Linked DNA regions of Lonchura striata. Each later gene encodes a partner of the first gene's protein in a complex. Links are inferred from orthologs where the notes say so. Each region holds a gene or a part of one and is shown in the gene's direction. Other genes may lie near its edges. The genes, in order: KIDINS220 and XPR1.

The links.
Region 2: the proteins of KIDINS220 (region 1) and XPR1 are in contact, whole or in part, in a cryo-EM structure (PDB 9JXQ), measured with the Homo sapiens proteins. The link is inferred for Lonchura striata from reciprocal best matches to the Homo sapiens genes KIDINS220 and XPR1. Residues at the interface, in NP_065789.1 of Homo sapiens: Glu36, Cys37, Gln39, Asp70, Trp72, Met102, Trp105, Trp110, Tyr113, Lys114, Val138, Ile142, Trp143, Gly146, Arg147, Ser166, Asp167, Lys168, Tyr169, Gly170, Trp176, Arg179, Lys180, Gln198, Glu199, Gly200, Ala201, Ser203, Lys234, Arg267; in NP_004727.2 of Homo sapiens: Leu95, Lys189, Lys190, Gln193, Glu197, Ala200, Asn204, Glu205, Ala636, Asp637, Asp638, Leu641, Leu642, Gln644, Met645, Met646, Asp647, Gln648, Asp649, Asp650, Val652, Arg653, Asn654, Arg655.

What each region holds. Positions count from the first base shown.
Region 1 is NC_134605.1:98,451,821-98,467,267, reverse strand, and holds the start of KIDINS220 (kinase D-interacting substrate of 220 kDa), read left to right. Parts: upstream 1-8,459; 5' UTR 8,460-8,590; intron 8,591-8,931; exon of another isoform or gene 8,932-9,050; intron 9,051-15,447. UniProt on the Homo sapiens protein: Promotes a prolonged MAP-kinase signaling by neurotrophins through activation of a Rap1-dependent mechanism. Provides a docking site for the CRKL-C3G complex, resulting in Rap1-dependent sustained ERK activation.
Region 2 is NC_134611.1:2,182,376-2,198,101, reverse strand, and holds the start of XPR1 (solute carrier family 53 member 1), read left to right. Parts: upstream 1-8,689; 5' UTR 8,690-8,778; coding exon 8,779-8,847; intron 8,848-9,517; exon of another isoform or gene 9,518-9,897; intron 9,898-15,726. UniProt on the Homo sapiens protein: Inorganic ion transporter that mediates phosphate ion export across plasma membrane.

The sequences.
Region 1 (15,447 bases):
ATGAGTAGTCTTACTACCAGAAGTGCAATGATGGATATATCCCCAGCTTTGGGGATATTGCCATGCAGAAATCATCACAGTACTCCCTGAAGGACTATATCCTAAGTTAGGTCAGAGTTGTTTCCTTGCTGTCATAACTCTCTGGTCCTTGGCTCCTTGCCTAAAACTCTGGGAGGAAGAGGACATAACTTCCCATAAATGTAGTTTAGCACTAATTAATCTACTCAGAAAGGGTGAACTGAATATGAAATGAGAGTGGATTAGTCTGTTCAGATGAGGAGGGATGTTCATTGTTTCAGTGACAGCTGTATTATCTTTAAGATAAAAAAATCTGACTTCTAAATCCTTACTTTGATTGCCCAGGTAGACTTCCCCTAACATGGGGTTATGGTAGTCATACACTTCTTTGACACCACATTATGGTTTTCTTTTTGTTAATAAGTAAGAGTATGCTAGTTTGTTTCATCATCCTTGTTAAATACAGAATCAGGAAAGACATTTTTTTGCATTCTGCACTTGAAGGGGCATTTACATAAAGGAACAGAAAAAGATTTGCACATTTCTGGGTGGGTAAGTAGAAATAGGATTGATTCTTTCAGCATTGGTTACTCTTGAACTTAAATTCATCTTATTGGTGCAGTCTCCAGAACTATTTAATTGCATGCCATGTGATGTGCTATTTTCTTATTTATCTTCTCATACTCTTGATTTACTGTTTTGGCATGTGTGCTGTGGAGGCTTACTAATTCTTCTTTATGAAATATGGAAACAGTTGTAAAGGCTCCCAGAAAGTGAGCAGATACAGGGTAGTACAGACTGATACTTCAACATGAGTGAATTCAGAGGTACAGTTTTTTCAGAACTTCTTTATGTATGGAAGTTGAAACAAGGAAGAAAATACATTCATACTTTTGCTGAACACAACTCTACATACTTTCATTGAGAGCAGGTGGCAAAATACAGGTTTCAAGACTGGACATGACTTTTTTATTTCTGATTTGAACTCATTAAGTAATTGCACACAAGAAAATTATGACAATTAATTATGCACAGAGTTTAAGTATAGTGTCCTGGAATTTACCCTTTAAGTGCCACTGTTAGGTATTTGAACAAAAATCTGCTCTTCGTGAGAATGACTTCTCTTGAGGACTGTGGAAAAAACTGGTTTATTTTAATGGCGGCACCCTGATTTTAGTCAGACTGGAGTTTTGATGTCTTTCCCTCTGCTTTACTCATTTTCTGCCTTGCTATCACACTGGATCCTTTTTATCCATGCAGTCAGAAAGTCAAGAGCAGCCAGCCCTAATGCTTTAGATAATTTTTAGGTTTTACACACACCATTTGTTAATACTGAATTTGAAAGGATGGCAGTGATTTTTATTGCTCTTCCTGACAAAAATTGTAGAAAGTATATTTCCTATAAATGTTTTGGACATGAAGGAAACATGGTTTTAAAAGTATTCTTTCACTTATTAAATAATGTATATCCAAAAGTAAAAGTGTTTCCTGTATTGCAGATCAGCACACTATGAAAAGTAAATGCAACATATCATTCATAAGTTTATGGTGCTTTGCAGATATTTGCCTATTGTGAACAGTTCATTCAGGCAGTTAATGAGTTAATGTTAGTTGGTAAATGTAGTCACCCCGATAGTAACTATTTGCTTGCTTAATGTTTTTTAACTTTTATGATTCTGTATTAATGAGAGAGATATATTTTACATATTTAAATAATACTTTCAGTGGTGCCCACTACTGTAGTAATCAAAAAGGCTTTTTAGCTTTGCAGTTACAGATATGCCCTTCTTAGTTGGGAAATGTATTCTTCCCTGGTCATTCCTTAAGTTGTCATGTAGACAAAATTTCAGTCATTGGTGACATTTGAAAATGTATTACATGTAAAAATATTGGTATGCATTTCAATAAGTTCTTCATAACAAATCACACTTTAGTGAGAATAACATGAAGAGACCTTGGTATATTCCCTGTTCTACACTGATATACGGTATAAGTTTTACCAATATAGTAAATTATTTATTAGAGGAATTTTACACTGAAGAACTTGTTCTGTTTCCCCCAGGGGAATAAGTAATATTAAAATAAATGCTAGGCTTATATGACAGGATGCACATTAGGTAGTTTTGCCTCTTTTGATGGCATTGATTTGGATAGTGGTTAAATGTCTTCTGATGCAGAGGAGATGTTTGAGATCATCACCTCCTGTCTAATTCATATCAAAAGTAATTTTAACAAAATTTAGATTTTTTTTCTCTCAAACTTTGCAAATGAATTGTTGACAATTTGTTTAAATACATGGTCAAATGTGTCTTCACGTTTGTATAAAAATGTGTAACTTGCTTACATGTGAACTTTCACATGTTCAACTTTATAAGTTGGCCTTGAAAGACATTTAAAAGCACAAATTACTATAATTTAGGCTTTCATTTCCCTTATCTTTAATTCTTTCACTTTGTAATTCTAATTGAATTCTGAAATTAGGCTAGAGAATTTGATTTTCATTGGAAAATTTGAAATACTACCATCTATGTAGAAAAGTGATCAGTGTTAGAAAAACAGAAATAAATTTGAGGATTTTAATATGATGTAGACTATGTATAAAAAAATACACACTAGTTCTGTGCTGATTCATCACAGCATTTAACTACATGATTGACCTTTATGTATTTATTTAGGTCCAATAATACTCTGAACTGCACTTGGTGTATTTTTAAATTTTCCTGTTTAAAAATCAATTGATAAGTATTTCAGTAAGTATTTAAATGCTACTCTGAATAAGTAAGCAGGCACTCTAGGGAATTGAGCCTACTCTCATAAGATTACCAGGTCTGTCTGCACCACAGCTAGTTTGCACTGTCCATCTTCATCCTCAGAGTCTTGGTGGAAAAGGATGGCAGTGGAGAAATCTCTGGTTAGAACATGTTCCATCTGTGCCTGGAAGGCTTTGCCACAATTCCTGCAGGGAGCTAACCCTGTGTGCAGAGCTTGGCAGAGGTTCTACTTGCTTGTGACCCAGGCTGCAGCTGCTCTATACTACATCTGACTGGATTTTTGACATGTTTGCTGTTCTAATCTTGATATTTTGCAAACACCATGAAATCCAGGCATCCACAAAGTCTCCCTGCAAAGTTACAATAACAAATACTGCAACACTTGTTTATTATGGTCAAAGCTAAATAAAAAAAAGATTTCTTAAAAACTTGTTTCAGAATGGGCTTTTTGTAGTTTTTTTACAAAATCTAACCACCAAATGTATCCATTTTCATCACATTAAATATTTAAACTACAATTTTGCTCAGTGTAGGTATACAAATGTGCAAAAGCAAATATTGCCACTTTATCATCATTTGTGCATTAGCTGTGTGTCCAGTGACTTAGACCTGGTTTTGGTTGTAGATGGTTTTAGATTTTCTGAACCCGTGTACATATCCATATAAACATTGCATAAATTTTGAACTGAAAAACTGTGTGACTTCAGACTGAGGTCTGAGGTAGGGCTACTTCTGGTTTTTGTCTTGTTAGTGACTCAGTCCAGCACCTTATTCCAAGCAAACCTCTTGGCAAAAGAGACCTCTGCACAATCTTCTTCCTTCCTTTTGTTCTCTAACGGGAAGGTACCCCAAGCTGGATTTTCATTTAGGTTTCACTGTAATACGTCATATGAATAGATAGCTGGGGTCCATGCTTTAGCCAAATTAGACTTGAAAACAGGGACAGTGTATGTATTCTGAAACAAATAGAGAAAATGGGGTGCCTAGAGACTGGTAATCGGAAAGTGCAACACTGCTTATTAAAGGTGCAACAATTACTACAATAAGTTAAGGAGTATTTGCCTATGCATCTTTTGCCTTTCTCTGTGTTTTTCAGTTCTCTTTACATCTTTTCTTTGTACCTTCTTTTGTCCAGTGGTGTTGACTATTTCTGTGGAGAATCTGCTGATGTGTCTTACTGTGACAAAGGTGTCAAAATGCTACAATAGTAATTAGGTAGTTACTCTTAAATCCCAGACCTCAGATATGTTCTAGATCAGTTAGAAGAGAACATTCAAAATGTATTGGATGAAAAATAGTGTAAGATGGGTAATATAGCATTATTCAAAGATGTTGTAATAAGTTATTCAATTTAAGAATTTAAAATATGGAACTTTATTCTTTCCTGCCTTGGTTACACATTCAAAGGAATAGGTTTACCTCAATGCAGAAGTAGTTATGCTTCCAACCACCCGTATGTAAAGGTGAGAGAACACCCCTAAAAGTGGATAGCTACAGTATTCCTAAATTTGCCTTTCCTGGTTCAGATTATAATACATTGTCAGTGAATTTAATTTTTATTATTCCAAAATATATATTTTTTAAAAAGTGTTATTTTTCAACAAATCCATAAACTAAGTGTTGATGTATGGTAAAATCAAAATACCATTGTTAGTTACACTGTGATTGTGATATTTTAATAATTACTTATTTCTAATTTGTCTCAGCAGTGCTGCAGAAGCAGCATGCTGTTATGTTTTAAAGGTGTTTTTAACTTGCCTATAAATGTTCTTTTCTAATTTGTGTCTTTAAATCTGATTAAACTGTAGTTTAAAAAAAGTGAACTTGTTTTACTAAATTCTTTGCTGTCTATCTTTAGTGAGTGGTGAAGAACAAAGTTATTTTAATGCATTTTCTCATTTTAGATTGCTAAATACACATTGCATGCATTTACACTTATTTGGAATGTTCTAGTTCAAAATTACATTTATTTAGTTTGTTTTGTAGAGCTTATACACAAGTATATGTATATAATTATTTTTCAGTAGAGCTAGCGACCAGAATTATGAGTCTAGCCTCTTGTTAGTTAGGAAAGGTGCTTAAGCAATTTAAACCCTCCATCTGGGAGCATGTTGCTACCCAATGAGTGCTACTTCTGGATATGACAACTGGGGTGTTTTTAGCTTGAGAAATGGAAACTTCATAACTGAGAAATCAAATTTGGTGCTTTGCAGAAGCTGTTGCTTTAATTGCTGGTTCCAAAGCAGGGCTAAATGTGTACCATACGTGCACGTTTTTCGTCTTTTTGAAACTCAGCTACCAGGACTCTGATCAGGCAGTTTCTTCTGTTGGCTGGTGACAGTATGTCAAAGCTGGCTGAGACTCCTGGACCTGCAGGTTTTTACCATGTAAACTTAGATTGTTGGAGAAGATGAGAGATATTAGGTGTCCCTACTAAAGAGGGGCTGTTTTCATAACTTCCTGTCTCACAGTGAATAATTTTCTCTCCATGTTTAGAATTCTCTTTTAGCAAGTGGTATCACAGGAGATGAAAATACTTGCCATTCCAACACAATGGACTACAGATGCATTTTTAGAAGGTCTGGTGTTGTCATTTTAACCAGAAGTTAGACTTCAATGGAAATTGCCTTCTCAAATACGCATTCACAACAGAGTCAGTCAGAAGTATGAAGTGTCCTCATGAACTCAACACTTGCATTTAGTGAAAAACTAATTTGAAGATATTAAAACACAGCTTTCTGCTACTAAGTGTTGTAAATTGTTAAGTTGCTGCACAGAAGGAGTCATAATTGAGAGCATCCTGGAGCCAGCAGATATTTTCTTGTGCCTATAATTAACTTAGTTCCATCTCAGTAACTTCCTGATAACATGCAGGATGTTTCAATATGGAATACAGACATAGTTCTAGAAGGAGATGCCTTCAACCTCACCACTAGGTGAGAGTTGGAGATCTGTCCAGAGTTTGGCAGTACATCTTACAGCTCTTTGGTCATATATAGTAGCAAAGGAGTTATTTCTCCATGTGGGCTGCACATGATTTTTCCAAACTGAATAAATAACAATTGCACCATGTTTCACTGCATATGTGAATTAGTCACTGGTGGGAAAGTGTTGCTCCTCATCTAAGCATAGGGTAAAATTTAGAAGAGCACAAGGATGTTAGTAGCTGGATCCATCTGTAGCAAAAGTGCATGATTGAAGGACTGTACAGAAAACTGCCTTTTCTGCCTCCACATTCACAGTGTTTGTACAGTTCCTTTTTATGCAGAAGGGAAGGAGCTACTGTTTCTGCCTGAAATTTGTAACTACATGGTGAGAACACAGCTAACACCTGATGGGTGCGAACACTGTGATATGGGAATAAGGATTTGGGTGATGGGAGATTATGAAGTGAGATACTAATACACATTTCTGTATAAAGTGTGAAAAAAGGGTAACCTCTTGAAAATGTTTAAAAATCTATAAACCTTAAGAGGCTAACACAGGCAGTCTTGTTAGACTGGTTTCTCTTAGGTGCACAAGATTATATGGGTGCCTGAAGCATCAGGACCACTCTTCCTTGAGTAGTGGCCCTTATGCATATGTTCAGGTGGTGCAGAGAGCCCTTTTCAGCCCCACATTAACTGCAGGGACTCATCCTCCATTTGTTCACATTCCTTTTCTGCAAATTAGTGTAAAGAAGGAGAATGTGTTTTATGTACTTAATTTTTCCCAGTTTTTCAGCTGAACCAATGTTTGGGTGCAAGATTAAATGGATTTAGCTTTTGAATTTCACTGCTTGTGCCTTTGCTTTGTATTAACTTTAGAGCAGGTAAGGAAGCTGTATATTTTATCAGGACTTTAAGGTCACTGGAGAATTCCTGCTTAAAAAATGGCAAAGCCCTTGCTGCATGGTTTCTGGTTTATAAATATTTGGGGTGTAGAGCAAGCCCTATCAGATGTTTCTTTAAGAAGGAAAGAGTCATGGCTCTTTACTGAGATTGAAGATCTCAGTGTTGTAAAGAATTATATGATTGCTTTGACCCTTGAAATTCAGTAACCTTAGAAATATGCAGTACTGTGGGTACTATGCTCCTTTCCCTGGCTGGTTTGTTGCCATCGTTGGTTTAGGCAAGGTTCTGTGATCTCCTGGAGATATGTCATTGGTGTAGTCATCAGAGATCATCTCTCATCCAGTTGTCCATATGAATTAAACATATCCATTATGGATTTGGACTGTGCTGAAGATGGAAATTTTAAAAATACCCATGAAGCTACTTGGACATTGGGTTCTGGGGAGTCTGCAAGAAGTTGGTAGGTCTCAAGGCATGTGGTGGTATTGCAAAATGTGCATTATGTCAAAATTATCTTAAATCAGGATGTACTTGATATTTGGTCTTTATATACTTTTAAGTCTACTCAGCAAGAAAGGAGACATAATCAGTAGAAGAGACAGCAGCTAGTATCCCTTAATCAGGACATCCTGGAGCTAACAAGTAAATCAAGACGTTGATGTATGTCTATGTATATGTTGCCACCTTGGCAAAAGACTCAAGGTCCATGAATCCTATAGTTGGTCTATCTTCATTATTATACTAAAAAGCTCTCATGAAGTTCAGAAAGACCCTGCCCAGGTGAAGACCCTTCCCCTGAGCATGCACAGAAATCAGCTGGGATTATGTAATTTGTATGAAAATGACAACCCAGCCATAAAGATGGAGCTGGACTTGGGAGGTTACGGACACAACTTCTGTGTATAAATCACAGAAGCACAAAATATTCTGAGTTGGAAGGGACCCATCGGAATTATCAAGTCCAACTCCTGGCCGTGCACAGTACAACCCCAAGAGTCACACCAGGGGCCTGAGAGCATTGTGCAAACCCTTGAACTCTGTCAGCCTCGGTGCTGACAACTTCCCCAGAGAGCTGGTTCCAGTGCTAAGCAGTCTCTGGCTGAAGAACCTTTTTCTAACATTCAGCCTCAACTTCCCAACTCACCTGTTGCTGTTCCCTCAGGTCCTGTCACTGGTCACCACAGAGGAGAGAGAGATCGGTGCCTGCCCCTCCCCTTTTCCCAGTCCTGAAGCTGTAACTGCAATGAGGCCTCTCCTCACTCTCTTCGCCAGACTGAATAAGACAAGTGACCTCAGCCACTCCTGGTATTTCCCCGGCTCAAGGCCCTTCACACAATCTTCTCTGCCCTTCTTTGGACGCTCTCTGACAGCTCAATGTCTTTCTTATACTGTGGTGCCCAAAACTGCCCCCAGGGCTCAAGGTAAGATACCTTTCCGCGGCGCTGCTTTCCAGCCTCTCGTTCCCCAGTCAGTCCGTAATCAGGCACCAGTTGTTTACTACCTCTTCCCTGTTTCCATCAGAAAGCAGCCGGGGCCCTGCAGGGCGGTGCCACCCCCGGGCTGCCCAGCGCTGCTCAGCCGCGCCCCCTCTGCGCCGCCCCGCGCCGGGCCGGCGGTGCCGCGGCGCTCCCGGGCAGGGCGGAGCCGGTGCCGGTGCCCGCTGCTGCCGCCGCCCGCGGTGCCGGAGCCGGTGCCCGCTGCTGCCGCCGCCCGCGGTGCCGGTGCCGGTGCCCGCTGCTGCCGCCGCCCGCGGTGCCGGTGCCGGTGCCCGCTGCTGCCGCCGGGCGCGGCCGGAGCCGGGCGGAGCCGCCCCGCGCGTCACGGCCGGGCGGGCGGAGCGCCGCGGCGGAAGATGGCGGGCGCCGCCGGGCCCAGCTGAGCGGCGCTCGGAGCCGCCGCCTCCCCCCGTGCCACGCTGCTGCTGGGCCCGGGCAGCCGCCGCAGGGGCCGAGTGCGCCCGGCCGTGGGGTGAGTAGCGGCGGGACGGCGGGGGGCACGGGCCGCGGAAGGGCAGGGGAAGGGCACGGGCTGTGGGGGAGGCGGCGCTCCGCTGCCAAACAAAGGCCGCCGGGGGCCGCTCCGGGCGGGCCCCGGGGAGGCGCCGGGCTCGGGCGGTTCATGGCCGCTGTGGCCCGCGGGGCGCTCCCCTCACGGCCCGGTCCCCTCAGTGCCGGGCCGCGGGTCGGGAGCGGCGGCGCGCCCGCCGCGCTCTGCCCCGGGCATCCCGGGGCTCCGGCGGCGCCGTGCGCGGGCGGAGCGGGCTCGGTGTGGGCGGCACCGCCCCGCGGGGCCGCGGGCACGGCCTGGGCTCCCCGGCACCCCTGCCCTGGGGTGGGGAGCCTCGTGTACCGTGTTTCTCTCTTGTTGACTCGGAAAGGTAGATGAGGGTTCGACTCGCCAGGAAAGTTTTTGGCATCTTGTTTCGAAGGTAAAGAATAGCAGAATGACTGAGGATGGGAAGGACCTCCCCAGGTCATAGGGTCCAGTTCTTCTCCTCTAATAGGGACAATAAGAATGGGTCTCCCAGACCGTGCCCAGAGGGCTTTGGTGTGTCTCTAGGAGGCTCGGCAGCTTCTCTGGGCAACTTGTGCCAGTGCTGGGTCTCCCTCTCAATAACAGCGCTTCCTGATGTTCAGACAGAGACTGCTTTGAATGCAGAGAAGGGTCTGGGGCACAGATCCCGTGAGGAGAGGCCAAGGGAATGCCAGGGGTGTTTAGCCTGGAAGAGGAGACTCAGGGATGACCTTATCACTCTCTACAACTATCTGAAAGTAGCCAAGTGGGGATCAGCTTCTTCTCCCAGGTAACAAGTGATAGGACAAGAGAATGTATCCCCAAGGTGTGTGGAGGGACTTTCGTCTTGGATATTTGGCTTCTCAGAATGAGTGGTTAGACATTGCAATGGAGTGCCCAGGGAGATGCTGGAGTCACTGACCCTGGAGGTGGTTAAGGAAAGACCACTTAGTGCCATGGTCTAGGTGACATAGTGGTGTTCAGTTGCAGGTTAGACTCAGTGATTTCTCAGAGGCCTTTTCAGTTTAATTGGTTCTGTGTTTCAGTTTCTACCCATTGCCTCTGGTCATGCCATAGGACATCACTGGAAGAGTAGCAAAATGTCTTAAAGGTCTTTGCCACTTTGCATATATGCTTAAAAATTGGTTGGAAAAGTGATTTCCTCTCTATAACTTTGGGTAAAGGATTAATGGTGGAATAATACAGTAATATGTCTTCTGCTGGAAAAGTGTTTGAATCGTTACCTGATTAATTACTTGACACTCCCCCCCACCACCATCAAACAGTAAAGAAATGGACAGAAAAACAGAAGATCTTAATGTGTAAGAAAACCCATCTTTTGTCTACTGGATAGGCATCTGTTCTTTGTTCTGCCACAGTGTTTATTTAAAATTAATTGGTTATTAGGTAATTAATATCTGCTTGAAATTCTGTGTGACCACAGCTTCTGAAATGGTGCCATATTAAAGTTCTGTATCACACCGTTCACTCTTTTTAAGTGGAAAGCACTCCAAAAGATAATTTTTTTGTCATATTGTTTCTGTGACTAACAAACCTTTGATTTTATGATAAAGAGAAACGTGTTGGCCATATGAGATTGTAAGGTGTGATTGCAGGGTTTCTTGTGCTTTTGTGTATTTTGTATAGATTTTGACAATTGTTTTGTATTGGTTGGTATAATTTTAAGAAACCCCTTAATATTGGAAACTTACTGTTTGCTTTCTTTGATCTTATGTATTTAAAACCTGAAATTGTGATTTGTAGGACTGAGCACCTTGTATTTTGTTTAGGAACTGAATTTTGTCTTAGAATTCAGATGTTCTTGGCAATATGTTACTGTTCATTGACCATATTTAAATTTTGTCTCGAAGGTGGACAGATTTCTCTGATAAAATATAAATCCTCATGTCAGCTACTTCACACATTATTTTAACTGGTTTTTTTAACCAGGGTGGAACATAGGCATGTCTAATAGTTGCTATCATCTGACAACCAGCCCTGCATTTTAAATATCAATTTACATTTTTGCAGTCTTTTATATGTAATCCCCAGCCTCTTTTGTTTTATTAAAACAAACAAAAAATCCATCACTACAATATTTGGAAATGGCTGTTGCCTTGAGTCCATAAGGTAGAAAAGGATTTGTGTATTTCCAATTTCTTCTACTTCTTACTGTGTGCAGATTTGATGGTTACCGTAGAGACCTCCTTTTGTGCCATTTTTTTTGGTTATATTGGTTTCTGGTCTCATAAGAACAATGCGTGTCTAGCTGTAGTTCACTTTTTGTGTCTTTTGGTATTTTAGGATTACACAATTATGTTCTTTGTGATAAAGTAACAAAAAATAAGGTAATTTAAAAAATCTCACCTGGATAACAGAAATGTGGTTAAGAGAAGTAGAATAAATATTCCCAGATAAATATGGAAAAGCAGAAATGCAGCATAAGGTCATTAGTCACACTGGAATTTCAGACACTGGAGAAGAAGTGTGGGTGTAGACTACTTATGGAAACTTAGATTTGTTATTTCTCTCTGACTCTGGATACCAGAAATTAATATTTTTAGAGACTCATTTCAGCTGTTCTGAAAATTTCTTCTTTAAACAGATTCCTGGTTGACTCAGTCCCAATAGAAAGAATATTTTAAGATATTTGCCACTCTGTGTGATGCCTGACTGTTCATGTGTAGGAAGTATATCAATTTAGGAAGGGATTTCAATAAGGTGTCGTAAAGGCTGGGCAATGCTTGTGTTAGTAAGATTCTGTGTACTGTAAGTAAAGGTGATGTTTCAGCATGTTTTCAATTTCTTTACACCATCATAAAGCATAAAAATGTGTGAGAATATGAAACTGGCTTGTGTTAGTTTTTTATAGTAAATTTCATGTGTACAATTCTTATGTTTCATGTTCTTTTAATTCTAATTTGAAAAGATGGCACTTCCAGTTCTTAAGGGTGAAATGCTGTGCATTTACACATTTGATTTGTACGTGCTCAGATTTCAGCAGCATAATAATTATTTCCTTTTATAGTTAGCTGAAAGATCTGCCGCAGTGTTGCATGTTGGGAAGGTGGCTTTTGTGTCTGGAAAAGGAAGGAGACACTCAAAAGTAGGCAACAGTTTCTTCATTGTATGATGAAAACTGCAAATTTAATGTCATTACTATCTTGACTTTATTTTTTTTTGTTTTCAATAGGTGTTCTCAATAATGCTAGAGTTGTTGACCAGTTTTGATATTTATTCGTAAAAGGTAGCTGTTTGTACAATAAAAAAAAATGCAGAAGATCTATGTAAAAATTGTTAGAAAATTTTTGCTAGAATTTTTGCTAGAAAATAGTTGGAAAATTTAGTGAGTTATATTTCTTATATAGTTAGGAACTCATTAGAGGTTCTGAGAATACATAAAATAGCTGCAGATTTGGGTTATCAGGACCTCTGCTGTCAATACTGCTGTTGTTGAGACAAACTGTTTTGTTTTTTTTTAATTGACAAATTTTTGCAGTCTGTCGAAAACAGTGATAATGTTTGTCTGCTTCAGCTGAGGATGCAAGAGCCTTACAAAACCAGGTTAATCCCTGTGCAAACACTGCCTTCACCTGAGCATTTGTGCACTTTATATGATTTCATAGTTCTTGGTGTGTTATTAGTTTAATAAAATATCAGGATTTGCTGCCGAAGGGCATTGTGAGATTTCCAAGCTTGAAAGTTTGCATTTTGACTAAAGAGCAGTTTTTTTTGCACTGGAAATTAGCTCACTTAGGTGGGAGAGAAAAAACCCATTTATCCTTATTGGAAAGGGGATTGGTTTCCAAATAGAATCCTGGTTTTAACTGAAATTTTTGTTATAGGTTGTGCAAATATTTCTGCTGTGTCAAAGAAAGTAAATGTGTTAATTGAGCAATTAAGGACCACTTATGTATAGGATGTTCTTGAATGATACTGGTTTTGCACTTGTATTTATGAAATTTGGCAGGGATGAAGTTCTCATCCTTTAATTTGGTCAAGGGTAAGACTTAGAGTTTTCTTTTTTTTCCAGAGTTGTTTGAAAACCATATGGATATATATTTCAGGACCTTTCTTCATTAGAGGGACCAGAGCAGAATTACTTCTCTAGCCAGCAACTGTTCCTCAGAGTCTTGCTTTCAGTTTTTATGATTATTTAAAAGAAAATCTGAAGCATTGGAAGAAATCACACTTTAGTGATCAGCACCCCTTTGAGTACAATGCCTAATTTTCATAACATAATAACATACATCTTGTATAATAAGAAGGTGGAGTGTGACTGCATTCAGCTGATGTTGAGTTGCTGTCATGAGTATATAATGAACAGACCCAGTCAGGCTTATTTTGGGCATGTTCTTTGTTCTTGCTGGGAAAGAAATAAAGCAAAGTTTCCAAAAACCTTAATACCACTATTTTTAAATTCATCTTTGTTTCTGGAATGATGGGGAGAGTTTTGTTTGTTTGTTGGTTGGTGGTTGTTGTCCCTAAACTGTGCTTTCCTAATTCCCTCCAGTGATGTTAATCTTTAGGATGCTCTAAGCTTTCCTGAAAATGGGAAAATAAAAGCATGAGGATATAAAATGCATAATTATAATATTTGATCTTGTGATTCTTGTTTTTATAAAATAGACTATTATTAATTCTAAAAAGTGACAGTGAAACACAGGGGACAAGAAACATTCTTGGATATGTTACACTGTTGTAAATCTTTTATAATTTATAGAAGTAACATTACCATGGAGGTTATAAACACATCTCTAGACATGTTCATTGGCATCAGGTATTTTGCTGTCAGTCAGAGGTTTAAGCTGTCCCTAAGGATTCAGCTCTGCTTGAAGGCAGAAGCTGCACTGTCGCCAATTGGGATTTCTGAAGCAAGCTGGATGCTTATCTACAGTGCAGCAGGGCTGCCTCTGCCTTTTGGGAATATGCCCACAGGGAACATCAAGGGAGAAATCTTACTTTGAGGAAGAAGCAATGCTGAATGCTTTCTTTTCACACTAGATAAGAATTCATTAGTGAAGTTTTGATAGCAACTGCAGAGTATAAATCATTTGGGGAGACATTTTTAGTAATGTTTTGGGGATGTTCTTAATACAGTTCTCAATTTAGTATTTGGTATGGAAAATAGCATGGGAATTGGTGGTACAGCTACAGGAGAGAAGCTGGGAGATAGCACAGGAAAAGCAAAAAATGCCTATGGTAGCAGTAGAGCTAGCAGCTAATGACATTTCATGGATTTCTTTTGCCTTATATAGAAAATAAGGGAGGAATACAGGTGTGTGTGAATATCTAATGTAATTTTAAGTGCTTGAGAATATCTGAGACACCTGCATAGGGCTGTAAGATGCTGCTGAAAGCTGTTAGGGTGGTGGGCTGTCCTGGACTGGCAGCTGGATGCCAGGCAACATGCTAACTTTCCTGGTATTTTTAGTGTCTGAAATGGCAGTAGGAGCCAGTGTGTCCGCACTGAGTCAGTAAAATTGCCATTTATTTTCAAACCTTTAGTAGTTTGGGTGATTAGTGGGTTTTCTGTTTTTAAGTTTGCAACCTCTCAGTTGGCTCTTCCTACTGAAAAAAAAATGCAGACAAACATATCCCACCACTGTTGTGCTGCTCACTCCCTTTGATGGTAATTTAACTGTACAGTAAACGTGACAGCCCTTTTGTGGTCTTAGTTTATTTATAGCTTTTTTGTGGGACAGACTGGCTGCTTGGGCAGTGCCTAGGAAAACTGCTGCTGGGCTTTATGTATCAAGTCTAGATTTTTTCTTTTTTTTTTACTGGTTTTAGGTGTGGGTTTTAAACAGTGTCTGTAGTTTCTTTCGTCACTAGACATTCATGGGCACCTGAATTTCATTTGCACATACAGAGATCTGCTGTCATCTTAACTGAGGTATTACCTGGCCTTATTTTGAACAAGACATTTCTGTATGTGGGTCATCTGATGGTTGCAGTACTGTAGGTGAGCTCAGGTAGTATCTAACATACCCTGACAACAGTATGTATGACTATATGTACTTAACTTGGTAAAGGTGAAACTATGTTGTTACAGACTATGTAAACAATTTAAAGTGGAACTGGATTATTTTATTTAACTCTCCAAATCTAAACTAACTTCTCTGTGCTAAGCACAGTGAAGTTCTTGCTGACTTCCTCTCATCTCCTTTTTTTCAATGGAAGCACAGAAAAATTCATTGTCTGCTTTGATTTGAGAATAAAAGTAAGAATATTTGCTTTGGAAAGCCACTAATCTTTGGCTTCTCCCTGGGAGAGAATATCCTAAGAGGTAGTCTTTAGCCAAGACTAAACTGGAGGTTTTCCTCTGCTGTTACAGGAAAAAGCCAGAGAGTATGATCATGTCAGCCACTGGTGAGGAGAAAGGTATGAAAGTGTGGTGGAGTCTTGTATTTAGGCCCTATTCTGCATCCAGTGAAACTTAATTTAGGTGCAGTGAGTGACTCAGTTTCTGTCACTATGTGTGTATAAATTTGGCACAGTAGTACTACTGGTGCTGTCAACTTACTGGGCATAGCTTTTTTGGAAGTCTGAAATGGTTTTTAGTGGTCTGCCTCAAGAAAGAAAAACTTGCTATCTTATTAGAGGTTAAAAACATAATCAGTTAACAGAAGCCATGTTATGTTTGACTGCCGAGTTAGCAACATGCCATCACATGCAGGCATGTCTGCATAAAGTGGATGATAACTGATTTAATAAATCATGTTTCTCAAGAGTTCCATATGGCTGCAGTTTAGATGGCATCACTGTATTTTTTAATGCTGATTAGTCTCAATGCTCTGCTTATACACATC
Region 2 (15,726 bases), on another chromosome or scaffold:
TTACTGAAAAGAATGAAAGAAAAAGTCACTTCTTATGTGTGGGGTTTTTCACCAGGATAATGATGAAATTTAGCTCAGTTTTGATGTTTCAGTTGCCCAGAAATTTTGTGGAGAAGACAGAGCTGAGGTGTTCAGCAGGAAAGCCCAGCTGAATTTGGGCTGCCACTTGCACACTGCCCTCAGCTCACATTGAGTGAATAATGCTTTTATTTGTCACTGCCCTGTCACTGCAAGACTGTGGATGTCCCTCCTTCCCTTCTCCATCTCCCCAGGCAGGGTTCTCTGCATGCCTCGGGTACCCAGCTCCCAGATTCCCTGGCAGCTTGCTGGCCACTGCTGAGCTGCCTGGAGCACACCAAACACCCCCCAGGCAGGAGATCTGGTCTGTGCTGCTGGAAAGAAGTGCCCAGCAGTGATCCTGCTGGGATGCTGTCCCCACCTGCCCCCCACCCTGGCCTTACCCGGGGGCACCAGGAGAGTTTCTCCCCAGTGAGTGCTTGGACCTGCTGTTCATCCCTGCAGAGCCCCTGGATAATCCCCTGTCCTCTGTCCTCTCCAGGGAGATGAACACCACCAGATGAGCTCTCCTTACATCCTGCATCCCTCCCCAAACCCTCCTTGCTCCCACATTCTTCCCTGGAAGCCTCCCTGCACTGGGGCAGGGATGCAGCTCTGGAAAAGCTGCTCCTGCTGCCGGCTCAGCTCTCCTGCAGCGTGCAGAAATGGAAGGGAGTGCCTGTAATTGCAGCTGTCAGGAGTAACAATCACAGGGCTGCTGTTATAAATGGCTCCAGCCTGACTTTTACTTACAGATTTCCCTCACGTGATGCCACGAACCACAAAAGATAAAACCTGCACCACAGAAAGGTAATTTCAGCTTCTGGCTCTGTGGAGGGGGATTTGTGCCTTGTTTTGGCTGTAAAATAAAGCAGGCATGGTGTGTTGGGGAGTTTTCATGAACAGGGTGGGACTGCTGGGGTATGTCTTTGAGTTTTATTTGCAGCATCAGCCTCATTACACGGTTGAGACAATGGAAAGATGGCAAAAGCTCACGTACAACTAGCAGTAGCTAGAGATTTATTTGCTGCAGAGCATTTTAAAAACTTTCTGGCCAACAGCATATTGCCAAAGCTTACAGATAGTTGTTCTAGTTAATTACTAAAAGCACACCTACACCTGCTTCACACAATGCTTGCTTGTCTGCTCTCTATTAACAATACACAATACACAAGTTCAGAGTTTTCTATTCTTTCTCTTTCTAAAGCCAACTTTTCCCAGCTTTCTAAAAATCTTATTACCTTTACTATTTCCCACAGCATGGCTTGGGCTGCAGGTCAGCATGTCCTGGTGGGGCTGGGGTGGCTCAGAAGAAGGGGACACCCAGTGTCTCCTCCACGTCACCCTGCAGGGGCTGAGCCCAGGTGTGAGAGCCCCTGCCCATTCAGTGGCCCCTGTTAGCCAGAGAAGGGTTTTAGGCTAATTCCTGCCAGATTTGTAAAAATTGTGATGATGTCTGGAGACAGAGAGGATCTGCAGGGCATGGGGGTCTCAGGCTGTGAGGGTGACCCTTGCCAAATCTGCTGGCATTGCTTGGAGGCCTGAAGAAATTCCAGGGAGTCCCACATAGGTGTGGTTTGTTCCAGGGCTAATTTCTGTGGTGAGGACAAAGCCAGGCTGTGTCTGGCTCACAGCTGCCATCAGAAACCAGAGATCCAGCAGAGCATGGAGCTCCCAGCATGGACTTATCCAGAGCTGGGATGAGAACCCACCTGATGTGCTGCCCTCTCTCTCTGCCCTGATGGCACAAGGACCTCTGGAACACATCCCTACTTGCTTTAAATGATTGTTTCTGATCTGACATCTGTCCTGAGGCTGCAGGACCTGGACCTGCATGTTGTGGTACCTGTGGATGATCCAGACTCAGCCCTGGTGCATAAGGAAATGATCCTGAGGTATGTGATTTCCTTCTCCAGGCCAAATGAGACCTCCAGGGAGGAACAGACAACCTAATGCTGTCCCAAGAGATGTCCCAGCTGACTGGAGCACAATGTCTGGCACCTGCAGCCCACTGGGGACATCAGCAGGAGATGAAACCCTAAGGATTCTCTTGACTCAGGGCTCAAGCTAGGCAGGGTCAAGCCAGGTTTGGCAGGAGCAGCTGTTCTTTCCCTAAAACCACAGGATCATTCAGGTTGGATAAACCTCTAAGACCACTGAGTCCAACCATTAACTCAGGACTGCCTTGTTCACCACAAAACATGTTCCTAAGCATCACATCCACACTTTTTTTGAACAATTCTAGGGACCTGGGTTCTACCACTGCCCTGGTTTGCCTGTTCCAGTTCTTGAGCACAATTTCAGTGGAGAAATTTTTCCTAATATCCAATCTAAATCTCCTCTGGAGCAGCCTGAGGCCATTTCCTCCAGTCCTGTCAGAGAGGAGAAGAGATTTACTCCCACCTGGCTATAGCCTCTGACCACAGCCCTTGCAAATAGGAAGCCTGTGGCCTTTTGTGCACTTTGATAAGGTCCAGAGGTCGTTAGAAAACCCACAAAGCTATGTCAGGATTTCCAAAAACTCTTAGGAAGTCCAGCCAGCTTTAGAAGTCTCTGCCACAGCTATTACCACACACCTCAAGCTCTCTGGCACTCAGTTTTCATTGTCATTATTGACACACTGGATAAGAGACACAAGTTCAATGCAGAGAATTGCAGTGACATCCTCCAGCATGTACCAGCTCTGGTGTCACACAGGGACATGGGCTGCTCTTCCCAGCAGGACCTCTCACACGGCATGACCCCAGTCCTTGGCTGTGTCATGGGAGTGGCACAGGAAAGAGGAGTTCCCCCAGCTTTTTCACTGTGCTTGTGGCAGCTTGGTGCCTGCAGCATCGATGCACCAAGAAATGCCAATATCTTGTGTTTCCAGCACAGCTTGCTGTGACTCTGGTGTGACAGTGGCACTGGCTGTGTGACCCAGCAGCAGCTCCATGGATGCTGTTTCTCATCCCAGGTCACCTCCATTCCTGCTGTTTGGTGGGTTTCCTTCACTCCCCTCATGTGGTGTATTCCCCTGGGAAAGGGCCAGCGGTCAGGGAGGCAGGAGTGTGTTTAACAAGGCAGGTGAGATTGGTGTAAACAGGACAGGAACGGTCCCAAGGCCACCTGGCACTATACCAGCCCCTGTTCCCTGGAAAACATCCCAAAGGGATAAGGGTCTGTGCTGCTCCAGAGCACGGTGGGGTAATCTATGCATGGTGAGGTGCAGTGGGGACAGCTTCAGCAGGGGGATTTAGTAGTGCAGCAGTCCTGGAGATGGATCAGGGATGCTGGAGGCACTTCCCAAGCTCTCCTGGAAGCAGCCCAGGCAGCCCTGGGGCTTGGAGGAAGCAGCTCTTATTTCTTCTCTAGTTTTAGACCTTTTCAGTGCGTTCAGTTTTCTTAACCACTGGTCAGCTGCTGTCTTCTCACACAAAGCAAGCGTGCAGAAATTAAAGCAGGCACGTATATGTGGGTTGGAAAGCATCCAGGAGCAATCACTTACACACCAGGGAAGGGCGTGAAACCCCCCCCATCTGCTCCCGGATTGAGGCAGCACAGCGAGTCCCCAGCCCTGGCACAGCTCCCAGGGGCTCATCCCAGCGGGGCACGCTGCGCTCCTGGCAGCCCCAGGGCAGGGAACCGCCGGGGAGGAGGGCTGATTTCGGAATTTCCAGGCAGGATGCTGCCGAGGGGACACGTGTGAGCTGCCAGGAGCTGCCGGGAGTCAGACCAGGAAAGGTCACCCGGTGCAGAGGCAGCTCTGCTCCCAGCACAGGGCACGCTCCTGGGAAAAGGGAGCTGCTTCTTTCCCCCTGTAGCTGCATCCCTGAGTGTTCCAGCAGCAGCCAAACCTATAAATGGGTTTCCAGTCAGGGCGATGTTGTTGCCTGGTGTTGGGACTTTTAACCTCAGGTGTGTAGCCACGCATGGGAAAAATCCTCTCTTGATGATGTGCAAGCTCAGCAGGGCATGGTTACAGCTCACAGACCCATGTCTGCATGAGCTGCCCCATCCATGTGGGGAATTTTGAGTCCTAAATCCACATCTGAGATGGACTCAAGTCCCAAAGGATCAAATTCAGTCAGTCAAATTCAAATTGACCCTGCTGCATCCAAGGTGGAGGAAAGCACAACCCCTCCTGGCAGGTCTCCTCCTGAAACAGGGAGAAAAGCATCATCTTACCCACCTTGGAAAATCTGCAGGAGCTGCCAAGGCAGTGTGTAGAAGAAGATGGATGGATACCAACATCCCTGCCACTGGAATCAGATCAATCCACTGCATTATTATGTCCTGGAAGCCACTGTTTCCCCTGGCTTTACAGAACTTCCTGCAGGCGGCTAACCTGGCTGTATAAACACTCTGCTCCCAGTCTGACCTTGTGCACTGCCTCTTCCCTGGGGTCTGGGACCCCCCCAGCTTCTAGTGCTCATCATCACACCCTCATTCGTGCTCCAGGGAGAAGAAATATGAGAAAAATCAATAGCTCCAGCTCAGGGGGATATGTGCATTTTTGCACTGGGAAATCTGATATATCGACCCCGTTCCTCAAGACAGCCATCGATGGAGCTGGTAATGGGAGGGCTCAGGGCTGGGGGTTCCAAGGCCAGGGCTGATGCTCTATTGATCCTGGCAGTCAGGGCAGCTTCTCTTGGTGTGATTTACTCAATTCTCTTGTTGTTCCACATCAAGCTTGTTCCCAATTTGCTTTTACGTCTGTATTTATTTATTCCTTGTTTTCCTTGCCAAGCAGTGGCAGTGAAGCCTCTGGGTCATCCCTCTGGAGCAGGAATCCCCACATGGGCAGGGCAGGGCAGGGCAGGGCAATGAAGGATGCAAAGAGCAGCGTTTGGCCCTCCTGATGCCTCCCCTGCCTCTGCACCAAGGCTGGGATGGTCTACTGCTCCCAAAACCCTGGGATTGGGCATTACTTCTTTTGTTTTCAGTGGAAAATTGACTTTATCTGCTCAGATTCCACGGATGTTGAATGACAAGGGAATTTAGGGCATTTTGTAAATCACACCAATCCCCCTGACCCCATGGTCCAGGCTCAGCCAATCCTGCTCTGCTCATGGGGCCAGGGATGGTCATGCACTTCCTCCCATGCCAAGTGGAGCCCCTAAATATCCAGGCATCTTAAAATCCTTTTGCCTGGGGAAAAGGTGGGAGGAGGTCCATGGGTTTCTTGCATTGTCTCCTGTGATGGAAAACCCTCCTCTTTGTGATTTTATGAATGTCAGTAAAGCAAATTTTCCCTTGGCAAGACTATTTTTTCTAAAGCCTTTTTTTTAAGACTTCTTTTCCCCAGCGATGCAGAAGCTTTAAAAGTATAATTATATATTTTAAAAAAATCCCACCATGCTATTTATAAATTATTCTATATGCTCCCAACAAAGCAAGTGCCAGACTGCACTGGCGGAAAGCCCACTCCTTGCTTGGTTTTAAAATGCAAATAACATTGCTTCTGTGATTTTTTTTTTCCTAACTACAACAGCATGGGGGAAATCACAATGCAAACTCTTTCCTGGAAAAAGGAGAGAGAGAGATGAGGAAAACGTGGCAGCCTTGTGCAAGGGAGGTATGGGGAGTGAGATTCAGACCTGAGGTACAGAGACTGGGATCCAAACTTGGGCTGTGGGGACAGAGATCCAGACCCAAGACTAAGATTTTTGGGCCCAGCATCCCTCCTCAGTGCTGCCTGGATTCCCCCTGCCTGCCCTCCACCCAGCCGTGGGCGGAAGGCAGTAGAGGCATGGAAGAGTGGTGGCCTTTTCTCTTTCATTTAAGGCTTCTCCTTGCCCTCTCTCCCTTCCTGCATTCCTCCCCCAAGCCTGGATGTGCAGACCTACGAGTTTTGAAACCTTTAGAGGAGTTGGAAAGCCCCAAGTCCCAGCAGAGCAGTGAAACACGAGGATGCTTAGTGTGGTCCCAAGGGGTATCTGATAACGGGAGGCAGGGATTTGCCAATCAGATATTTGAATGGAGCTGTTTCTACTGGGCAATGGTGAGCAAAGAACCCAGCTTCTGCTCTGCCTCCCCTGTTACCATCTGTCTTCATTTAATGATAAAAAAATAGCATTTATTGATATAAAATAAATAAAGGGTGGGGGGGATTGCTGGTTATTTTCCATCATGAAAATCACCAGCTGTCGTATCAGAAGACATTAATTTATTATACACCCCAGTACGTATCCCAGGCAATGCCTCCCGCAAATAACAAAGAGAATATTTATTTCTTAATCCTCTTTTCTGCCCCCCCCGCTGCAAGTTATCTCCGGGAGCCCGACAGGATTCAAAGGGTCGGGCTGTGACATGCCAGCTGTGACATGCCAGCTCCCCGGGGCTGGAGCAGGCTCGGCCCGGGGCGATGTCACCGGTGTTATCAGGCACAGCTGATGCCAAGGTGAGGCATGGAAAAGCCACTGACCTGCGAAATGTAAGTCAAGCTGTGCCACTCGTGCCAGGGCCAGCGCCGGGCAGGCTCGCTGAGCGCCAAGCGTCGCAGCGAGGGCACGAAAGCTCCGCTCGTTTAAAGGGTTTGCTGCAAGCGTAATTAAGAGATGGTATCAGCGAGAGCCAGGCGAATCTCAGCCCTCGCAAATCACAGATCCCCGAGCCTGCACAGGACCCCCATAAATCTGAGCAGCAAACGAGCTCTGCGGGTGTCAGGGGGAGGGATGCTCCGGCAGCTGCTGCCAGGGAGGGACCTTGTGGTGCCGAGGGGATGGGATCGGCCCTGCCGAGGGTGGGAAAAAGATGAAAACTGTCACACCAAAGGTTGGGAGGCTTGAAGGAAACCAAAATTCATTTCAAAGGAGGTAAAGCCCCAAAAACAAGCAGCTGGGGAGTGGCAGGGTTAGGGCCACTGAGGATCTTTGGGATAACCAAGGGTTGCAGCCCCCTGCCAAGTGGCTCCAGTTTGGTCCCTCAGGCCATGATCCAGTGGGTGCCAAATCCCCAGCTCCAGGGGTGTCTGTTCCATGGCAGACATGGCCCTGTGCAGGTGGGTTTGCTCCAACAGCTGCCCTGGAGTCCCTACTCCCCTCATCCCAGCCTGGCACTGATGGGCAGTACAAGGGCAAAGGCGGTGGAGATCATGCAGCTTTTGGAAAATTTTCCCTTTCCTCTCCACACCCTTTATTTTCCCCTCTTATCTTTCTTTCCCTTTTTTGCTGGTCTCGTGTGGCCCGTCAGACCAGCTTCCCTTCTCCCTCAATCCTTACTTACTCTTTCCTGCAGTTTCTCCTATTCTTTCTCCCATCTTCACCTCTGTTCTCTGTCTTTCCTCTCCTTGATCCCTTCCCATTCTGCCACTTCTTTTCTCCCATGTGCACCACTCTCCCTGCTACACTTCTCCCCTTCTCATCCCCTTCCCATTTCACCTCATCTTCACACCATTCCCTTTTCATCACATCCCGTCCACATCCCATCATATGCTAATCTCATCCCATCCTATTCCTTTTCCAATACCATTCCAATACCATTCCCATTCCCATTCCCTTCCCATCTCATCCCTGTCCCCATCCCCACTCTCATCCTATCCCATCCCATTCTCATCTCCTTTCCATCTCATCCCCATCTCATTCCCATCTCCATTCCCATTCCCATTCCCATTCCCATTCCCATTCCCATTCCCATTCCCATTCCCGTCCCCATCCCCATTCTCATTCCGTTCCCCTTCCTGTTCCCATTCCCGTTCCCATCCTCATTCACCTTCCTGTTCCTATTCCATGCTCCTGTTCCCATTCCCATTCCCATTCCTATTCCCATTCTCGTTGCCATCCCCAGTTGCATGCCCGTTCCAATCCCCGTTCCTGTTCCCATTCCCATTCCCATTCCCATTCCTGTTCCCATTCCTGTTCCCATCCTCGTTCACCTAACCGTTCTTATTCCATATTCCCATCCCCATTCCCATTCCCATCCCCATTCCCATTCCCATTCCCATTCCCATTCCCATTCCCATTCCATATTCCCATTCCCATTCCCATTCCCATTCCCATTCCATATTCCCATTCCCATTCCATATTCCCATTCCCATTCCCATCCCCGTCGCAATTCCCATCCCCATTCCCATCCCCATCCCCATTCCCATTCCCATTCCCATTCCCATTCCCATTCCCATTCCCATTCCCATTCCCATTCCCCGTTCCCGTCCCCGTCCCCGTCCCCGTTCCCGGACATCCCCGCACTCCCGGGGCTCGCGGGTGACGCTCCCGCGCCCCAAACCGGACCCCGACCGCGCGCGAACCGCGGCGCCCCCCGGCGGCGAGCGCGGGAACGGCGCGTCCCGCGGGCGGAGCCGGGCGCGGGCCCCGCCCCGGGGCGGCGGTGCCGGGGACGGGCCCGGGGCGGAGCCGGGTTCAGGCCCGCCCCGGGGCGGCGGGGCGGCGGTGCCGGGGACGGGCCCGGGGCGGAGCCGGGCGCAGGCCCCGCCCCGCGGCGGTGGGCGGGCGGCGGTGCCGGGGCCGCGCGGTGCCGGTGCCGGTTGGCTGCGGGCGGTGACGGCGGGAGGCGGTGGCGAACATGGCGGCGGCGGCGGCCGGGGAGGCGGCGGCAGCGGCGGGGCGGCGCTGAGGAGGCCCGAGGCGGGCTGAGGAGTGGCGGGGCGGGCGGGCGGGGGCCCATGTGCGGTGGCGGCGGACCCCCCCCGCCCCCCACTACCGACGCCCGGTCGCAGCCAGGCGCCGCCGAGGCGGCTCTGCGGGCGCGCAGCGAGCGCGGCCCCGGCCCGCCGGCAGGATGAAGTTCGCCGAGCACCTCGCGGCGCACATCACCCCCGAGTGGCGGAAGCAGTACATCCAGTACGAGGTACGGCCCCGGGCACCGGCCCCGCGCCGCGGGGCGGTGCTGATGGAGAGGCGGCGTGTGCGTGTGTGTGTGTCCGCCGCGGCGGGCAGGCTGCGGCGCTGGGCACCCCCCGGCCGTCCGCTTCGTTAATTACGGAATTAATTACCGCCCGTAAGCTCTTGCCGGGGGACGGAGGTCCGGGCACACGCGCGGCACCGGGCACCCCCCCGGCCCCGGCGGGGGCTCGGCACCAGCGCCGGTTCCCGGAGGAGCGGTGACTTTGAGCGCTCCCGGCCTCCCAAGGGCGATCCCGCTGGGCTGGGCAGCTCCCGGCGCCCTCCCTGCCCTGCCGGCGGCCACCGGCACCGCTCTGGGCTCCCCCGAGCCCCCCAAACTGGCTCCGAACCCCCTTCAACTCCCCGAGCCCCCCAAAACTGGCTCCAAACCCCCTTCTACTCCCCGAGCCCCTCAAAACAAGCTCCAAACCCCCTTAAACTCCCCGAGCCCCCCAAAACTGGCTCCGAACCCCCTTCAACTCCCCGAGCCCCCCAAAACTGGCTCCGAACCCCCTTCAACTCCCCGAGCCCCCCAAAACTGGCTCCGAACCCCCTTCAACTCCCCGAGCCCCCCAAAACTGGCTCCGAACCCCCTTCAACTCCCCGAGCCCCCCAAAACGAGGAAGGCAGCAAACCTGCATCAGCTCCGGTTTTATGATGGTTTTTAAGTAAGGCTCTGCAGCTCGCTGTTCCACACTCCAGTCGGGGCGTTTATGAGCACTGTTTGCACCAAGTTCTGCTGCATTAATCGTGAATTATCTGCAGAACACAGCTTTTTCGGGCTTTATCACGGCAGCCTGCTAAAGGTCATGCTGATTGCTTCGTTTCGGATTTATCACACCGATTCTGGGCTTGGTTGGAACTGGACGGAGCTGGAGGTGGTTATTTGTAGTAAAACCATTTCCTATTTCAATGTCAGCAGTAAAAGTGGCAGGTGCCAGCGATGTCTTTTCCACAAGTAATAATTAAATCTAGACAACGGAAAGCTGATTATAGGACAGCCACGATCAGCAAAACTTCTTGACTGATTGACTCAGTGAAAACCACGCAACATTTGTTGTTGTTTGAGGGCCTGTATTTTATCCCTAGGACTATAATAGCAATTTATTTATGCTATCCATATTAATCTGTCTGCATTGGCAAGGAAAGCCACATTTATCTTAGCTTGCTTTGTTATAATGTCGAGCTTGAGAAGTTTATATCTATCCTTTTCATTCTTCCTTTGTTTTCCTTTACCTGACTGCAGAGGAACGGATGTTTAAATAAAAGCTGCAGTTGGATTTGGCTTTACAACAATATTGTGATCTCCTTGAATTATGTGGAAAGCTAGATGGCCAGATAATGCTATCAGTCTTTGAGGTGGAGGAAAACCATTGTCCTGGTAAAATAAAGGGCCAGCTTAGTTCCGCATCGTGTCTCTAATGGGTTATCCCTGTGAGAGTTGTCTTCTGTTCCTGAAAACAGAAAACTTGGGTATCTTCCTAAGAGCAGCTTTGGAGATGTGTTGGAGAGGAAGGCAAAGGGGAAATAAAAGGGTGAAAGATCTAGCTGCATGCTGAGCAAACAGCTGTGCAGAGAGGGGAAGGAGACCCAGTGAACTACGACACCTCGATTAATGTGTGAAGAGCTCTGCTGCTCGTCGGCCGCTGTTTTCATTATGGGAGGTTAATTTTCAGCCGTTTTAACTAGGGCACTATGATTATGTCATTCTCCCTTCCTGCAGCCCAGTTTAAGATGTAGATTTCAGTAAAAACTTCCTTCAAGTCGTTGCTCTTTCTAATCACAAGTAATCCCCTCCTTGGATAGACAGCTTAATGTGGAGTGAAGGAAAATACCAACCTCACCTTCCCTTTCAGTTATAACTTTCAAACTCTTTGTTTGCCTTGTTGCAGCTGGCTGGATGCGAGTCAGCCTCCTGCTTGTGCATATTAGACTGATGGAATAGCCTGGCATTTATTATTCAGTAACTGGTGGTCGAGTGGGTGCAGTGCATAAAAGCCCAGCACCACCTCCATTTACTTGTTGATTATACCTGGAGCAAAAAGCACCCAGCCTTCCTTTGTCCAGAAAAATTCCCAGGTGTTGATTGGCAACTGTGAGGGTTAAACTTTGCCTGTGTTACTTGTGTGCAGTGCTGCTTTACAGAAGGTGTCACAGTAACATTTTCAAAGGTTATTTGTATATTTAATAGTGTTATAATGTTTCTTCTCCTCACAGTTTATATGTTTTCCTTCTTAATTAACACAGGAACCACCTGAGTTCAGAGATCTTCTTGGGTAGGTTTTTAACTCTGAAAAGATTCTTCCTGTTTCCAGGATTTCACATTCAACATCACAGAATTCTGGAATGATTTGGGTTGGAAGGGACCTTAAAGATCATCTTGTCCCATCCCCTGCCATGGGAAGGGGCAGCTTCCACTATTCCAGCTTGTTCCAAGCTCCATCCAGCCTGCCCTTGGACACTCCCAGGGATCCAGGGGCAGCCACAGCTTCTCTGGGCAACCTTTGCCAGGGCCTCCCTACCCTCAGGGAAGATTTTTTGCCTCATATCTGATCTAAGCCTGCTGTCTTTCAGTTTGAAGCTGTTCCCCATGAGAGGACTAAAAGATGATGCAGAAATTGCTTTCTCTAAGTCGTTCTGTATCATAAAGCTTACACGCCCTCATCTTTATTTTCCACTCTGGTATTTGTGGTCATTTCCACTGGAGAGCAGGTGATTCCTGGAGCCTGGCAGGACCCAGGTAACCTGTGAGATCCTTCCATGGGATTTGGAGCAAGCTTTGCCTGTCAGACCAGGTGTAATCTGTTGGTGATAACCTTGGAAAGAGGAATGGGATTGTTGCGTTTTCAATACCTAAAAGTGTAGTTTCACTTTCAGGTGGTGTTAACCAATTGACAGCCCTCAAAACTTCTGACCATCCACATGCTCTTTCCCTCCAAAAAGAATCAGTTTAAATATTCTAAGTGTGCTTGTAGGAAATGTGGTAGTTGCCTGAGCTTAGGGCTGGCAGTCAGGGTGAGAGCTTTAGGGAGAGCAAAAAACATTCATTTTCTTTAAACAGACATAAGTAAGATATATTTTGGTATTATTTGCTTTCAGTAAAAGCTCTGCAGTGACCATTACTGTACGTCTAAGCTCTTTGAGAAGGAGCACTTGGTTTACAGAAAAGAGGGAAAATGGCAGTGAATGCTATTCTGTTTCATTCAGCTTTTCCCAAAGACATTTACCATGACTGAGCCAACAATAATGTGGAGCTTTAAACCATGATGGACTTGATTTGGCTTTCCATTCCAAATTTCCATTCTAAAGATTGCATGAAATGATGTGGATGTGCCTCACCCTGGCGGCAGCAGTGGAGGGCTTTGCTCACCTTGTTTTAGGGGGTCTGGCAGTGCATTTTCTTCTGTAAAGTGAGTCACATTTTCCTAGCCTGTTAAACTACAGCTGTGATATGCACTGCTTCGGTGTACATTTTTGCCTTGAGAATTTTGGGCCACTCACTTACCCCTCAGTTCCTTTGGAAAAATATGAAAATGAAAAAAATGGAAAACAGGAAAAACATGAAAACAAACACAATCCCAACTTTTTGTGTCAGATGACTGAATTCTCATTTCCACATAGTACTGAACAAATTCAGGTAACTCTTGCATGAATTTCAGCTGATGCTTTCTTTTTTTTTTTTTTTGGCTAGGAGTGTGCTCTGCTGCATATAATGCTCATTTTTGATGCAGGGAAATATTTGGGTTGCTAGTCCTCTATCCAGAAATCCTCCTGGGTTCCTTTGCTCTCGTGTCCCTCTCTGGATTGCTTTCAGGAGGAGAGCATTGCTCAGACTTCTAAATGTAAATGTGTATCTGCACATCCAGCTGATGGAACTGTACAACTCACTTGTCCAGTTGCCAGATGGCTGTTTGGTTGCAGTAAATCTGGCCTGAAATTGTTTCTCAGCAGAAGTTTGATGGCATTTTTATAGGAAAAATACATAATACCTTTGAAATCACAACAGCTGTGGAGGGAGGAGCAGAACAATTATTACAGGTGCAAAGTTCATGGGAGAGTTGGGTAAAGGTGTGAGCAGGTGACCTCCCTTCCCTTTTTTTAATGGTTTTAAGTCATTTTGCTGTTGCAGAAGAGGAACAGGTTGCTAAGTTTTAGGCGACATTTCTCCCAGACACCACCTGCAGCAGGAAGTGGGTGGGGGCAGAGGATAGCTGAGGTTGCCTGCTTGCCTTCAGAGTGTCTCTTGCAGAAACGCTTTCAGTTTTTGGGAGGTGGCCAATTCTGCTGTCAAACCCAGCTTCATGATAGGCAGTTCACACCCAGGCTTGCCACCTCCTGACACAAATCTGTTGTGCTATTTCACTATTTGTCCTTCGGGCTGTTAGCAGACGAGCTAAGTGGTTTGAAAGACTCCTTTAAAACAGTGGGTTGTTTTTTTTTGAACGTTTTAAGGTTTTTGTCCTTGATTTTGTTCACTGATAAGGTCTAATGGTTGCATTTTCAAGTGTTTTCTTTTTGCCTTTTTTTTTTTTTTTGTTCCCTTATATGTATTTACACAAGTTGACTGATGGTGTAAGGTGTAGCACTGGCACAATCTAAAGCAGGGAAATAACCCATTTTGTTTAGTTTGAGGGCACAAACAGTAATTCTTGAATGTTTCACATTGACAGTGATGGATAACTTTTGTAAATGATCGGTTCTAAGATTCTGTAATCTAGAGGACTAAATAGTTTAGGTGTGAAGGAGCACTGAGTGTTTAACTTTCAGGTTATTGGTTTATTTATATAGGTCAGGAAAGCAGTAACAAAATCTGCTGCCCTGCAGCTGCCAGATTGTACTATGTCAGTCTGCATGGGGAGAGGTCTGTGGGACGACTGACACCTTCAGCTTTCAAGATTATTTAGTGCAGGACTGTCAATGTTGTCCTTTGTAATTTGTGTTTTTAAAAAATGACTGATAAAACCAGAGATAGGCATTATACCGGGTTTACCTCTGGTTAAGAGATGAGTTGTTACTACAGTGACTTTCAATATGCTGTCTCTTCTGGTTTGTTTGTCTTGTGTCACGTCGTGGTTCATGGAAAAAGTTACAGGTAGGTGAGGATGATGACTGGGATGGAAAAGGAGGAAGATTTTTTGGCTATTTGGTGTGCAGAGACAGATCATGTGCTGCTGACCAGTGAGTCCTGGGGGGAAGGGACTGAAGTGGCCAGTGCTCCTGAGCAATTTTAGAAAAGCACCAAGAGCAGAGGAGAGCTGTGCTGCTGGCATGAGGATCATCCAGCAGTGGCTCAGTTGGGAAAACAATTATGCAAGTGACCTTTGCTGAGACCTCTGTGGACTCAGGAGCCAGACCTTTGGGAGATGCCAGAGCTGCCGGTGTAAGCAGCCACCTTGGGTATCTTGTGATAAACAGACTTGTCCTTTAGACCTTGTGTTTACCCAATGTGTTACAACAGCATTCAGTTCCCTGCTGCTGAGCTGATGGTTTTTACCTCCAGGGTGTTGGGGGATTTGTCATTTAACCTAGGAGGTTTTATCCTGGGGCACTGTGACACACACCTCTGCTTCTGCTATCTTTTGGGGTTATGGAAGTATGGGATATGCTAAGAATCAGGCAGAATAGATAGGAACTGAGAAGACCTGAATTACTTTTTTTGTTTTACATTTCTGTGGGCTCAAAAATGAGGGAATAAGGTCAGTTTTTTGTGGTGGTGGAGGAGGGTACTCATGTTCAGTATGGGTATTAAGGTGTGAGGTGTGTATAAGCAAATCACTTTGCAGTAGGAATGGGTTCTTTGCTCTGGCTTTTAGTTCCAAAGTTATGGCTAAGGTTATTCATGAAGTCCTAGAATGCTTTGGGTTGGAAGGGACATTTAAGATCCTCTTGTTCCAACTCCCTGCCATGGGCAGGGAAACTTTCCACTAGACCAGGCTGTTCCAACCCTGTCCAACTTCAAGGGATGGGGCAGCCACAGCTTCTCTGGACAACCTGTGCCAGGGCCTTACCATTCTCACAGTAAAGATTTTTTCCCTTATATCTTACTCCAACCTGCTTCTGTCAGTTTGAATCCATTTCCTCTTGTCCTGTCATTCCTGGCCATTGTCCAGATGTTCCTCAGTTCTCTTGGAACCCCTTTAGGCACTGGAAGGGGCTCTAAGGGCTCCCTGGAGCCTTCTCTTCTCCAGCTGAACACCCCCAGCTCTCTTACCTTGTCTCCATAGCAGAGGTGCTCCCACCCTCTGAGCATCATTGTGACCCTCCCCTGAGCTCACCTCATTCCTTCAGTCTTTGGTCTGAATTCAGTTTATGTGGATGTGAGTGAGCAAATCTCTATCCTGTGTCTGGAGTAATACCAGCACTTTCACAACTGCGTGGGAAGAAGCCTTCCAGAAAGGAGCTGCAAGGCAGCTCATGGTGCCTCCAGGACCTGAAACCTGATTCATTAATTAATTCTGGCTGGTGTTAATGTTGCCCTTCAGTTCCCACCTGTAGAGAAGGCCATCACCCTTGGTTCCCTAATCTCCTTTATCATGTTGTCTTCAGCTTTTAGAATCGATGTGTTTTTTGTGATCCTGTATAACAGTGATGAAAAATCCCTGAGGCTGCTTTTCCTCCATTTGCTTTGACAAACTCCTCTGTGTCACGCAACACTTCAGGTTTGGTTGTTATTTCTTCCATTTTTTTTTAATGTAAAGCCCTTAGCATCCTACCAACTGGGAAACATTTTTCCAAAGGAAGATGCTGAAATGTACACTTGGAATAAATTTTATAGATTAGTAAGATACCAGGCTTTAGACAAAGCAGTCAGTAAACATGAACCCGTTTCACTTGTGAACAGAAA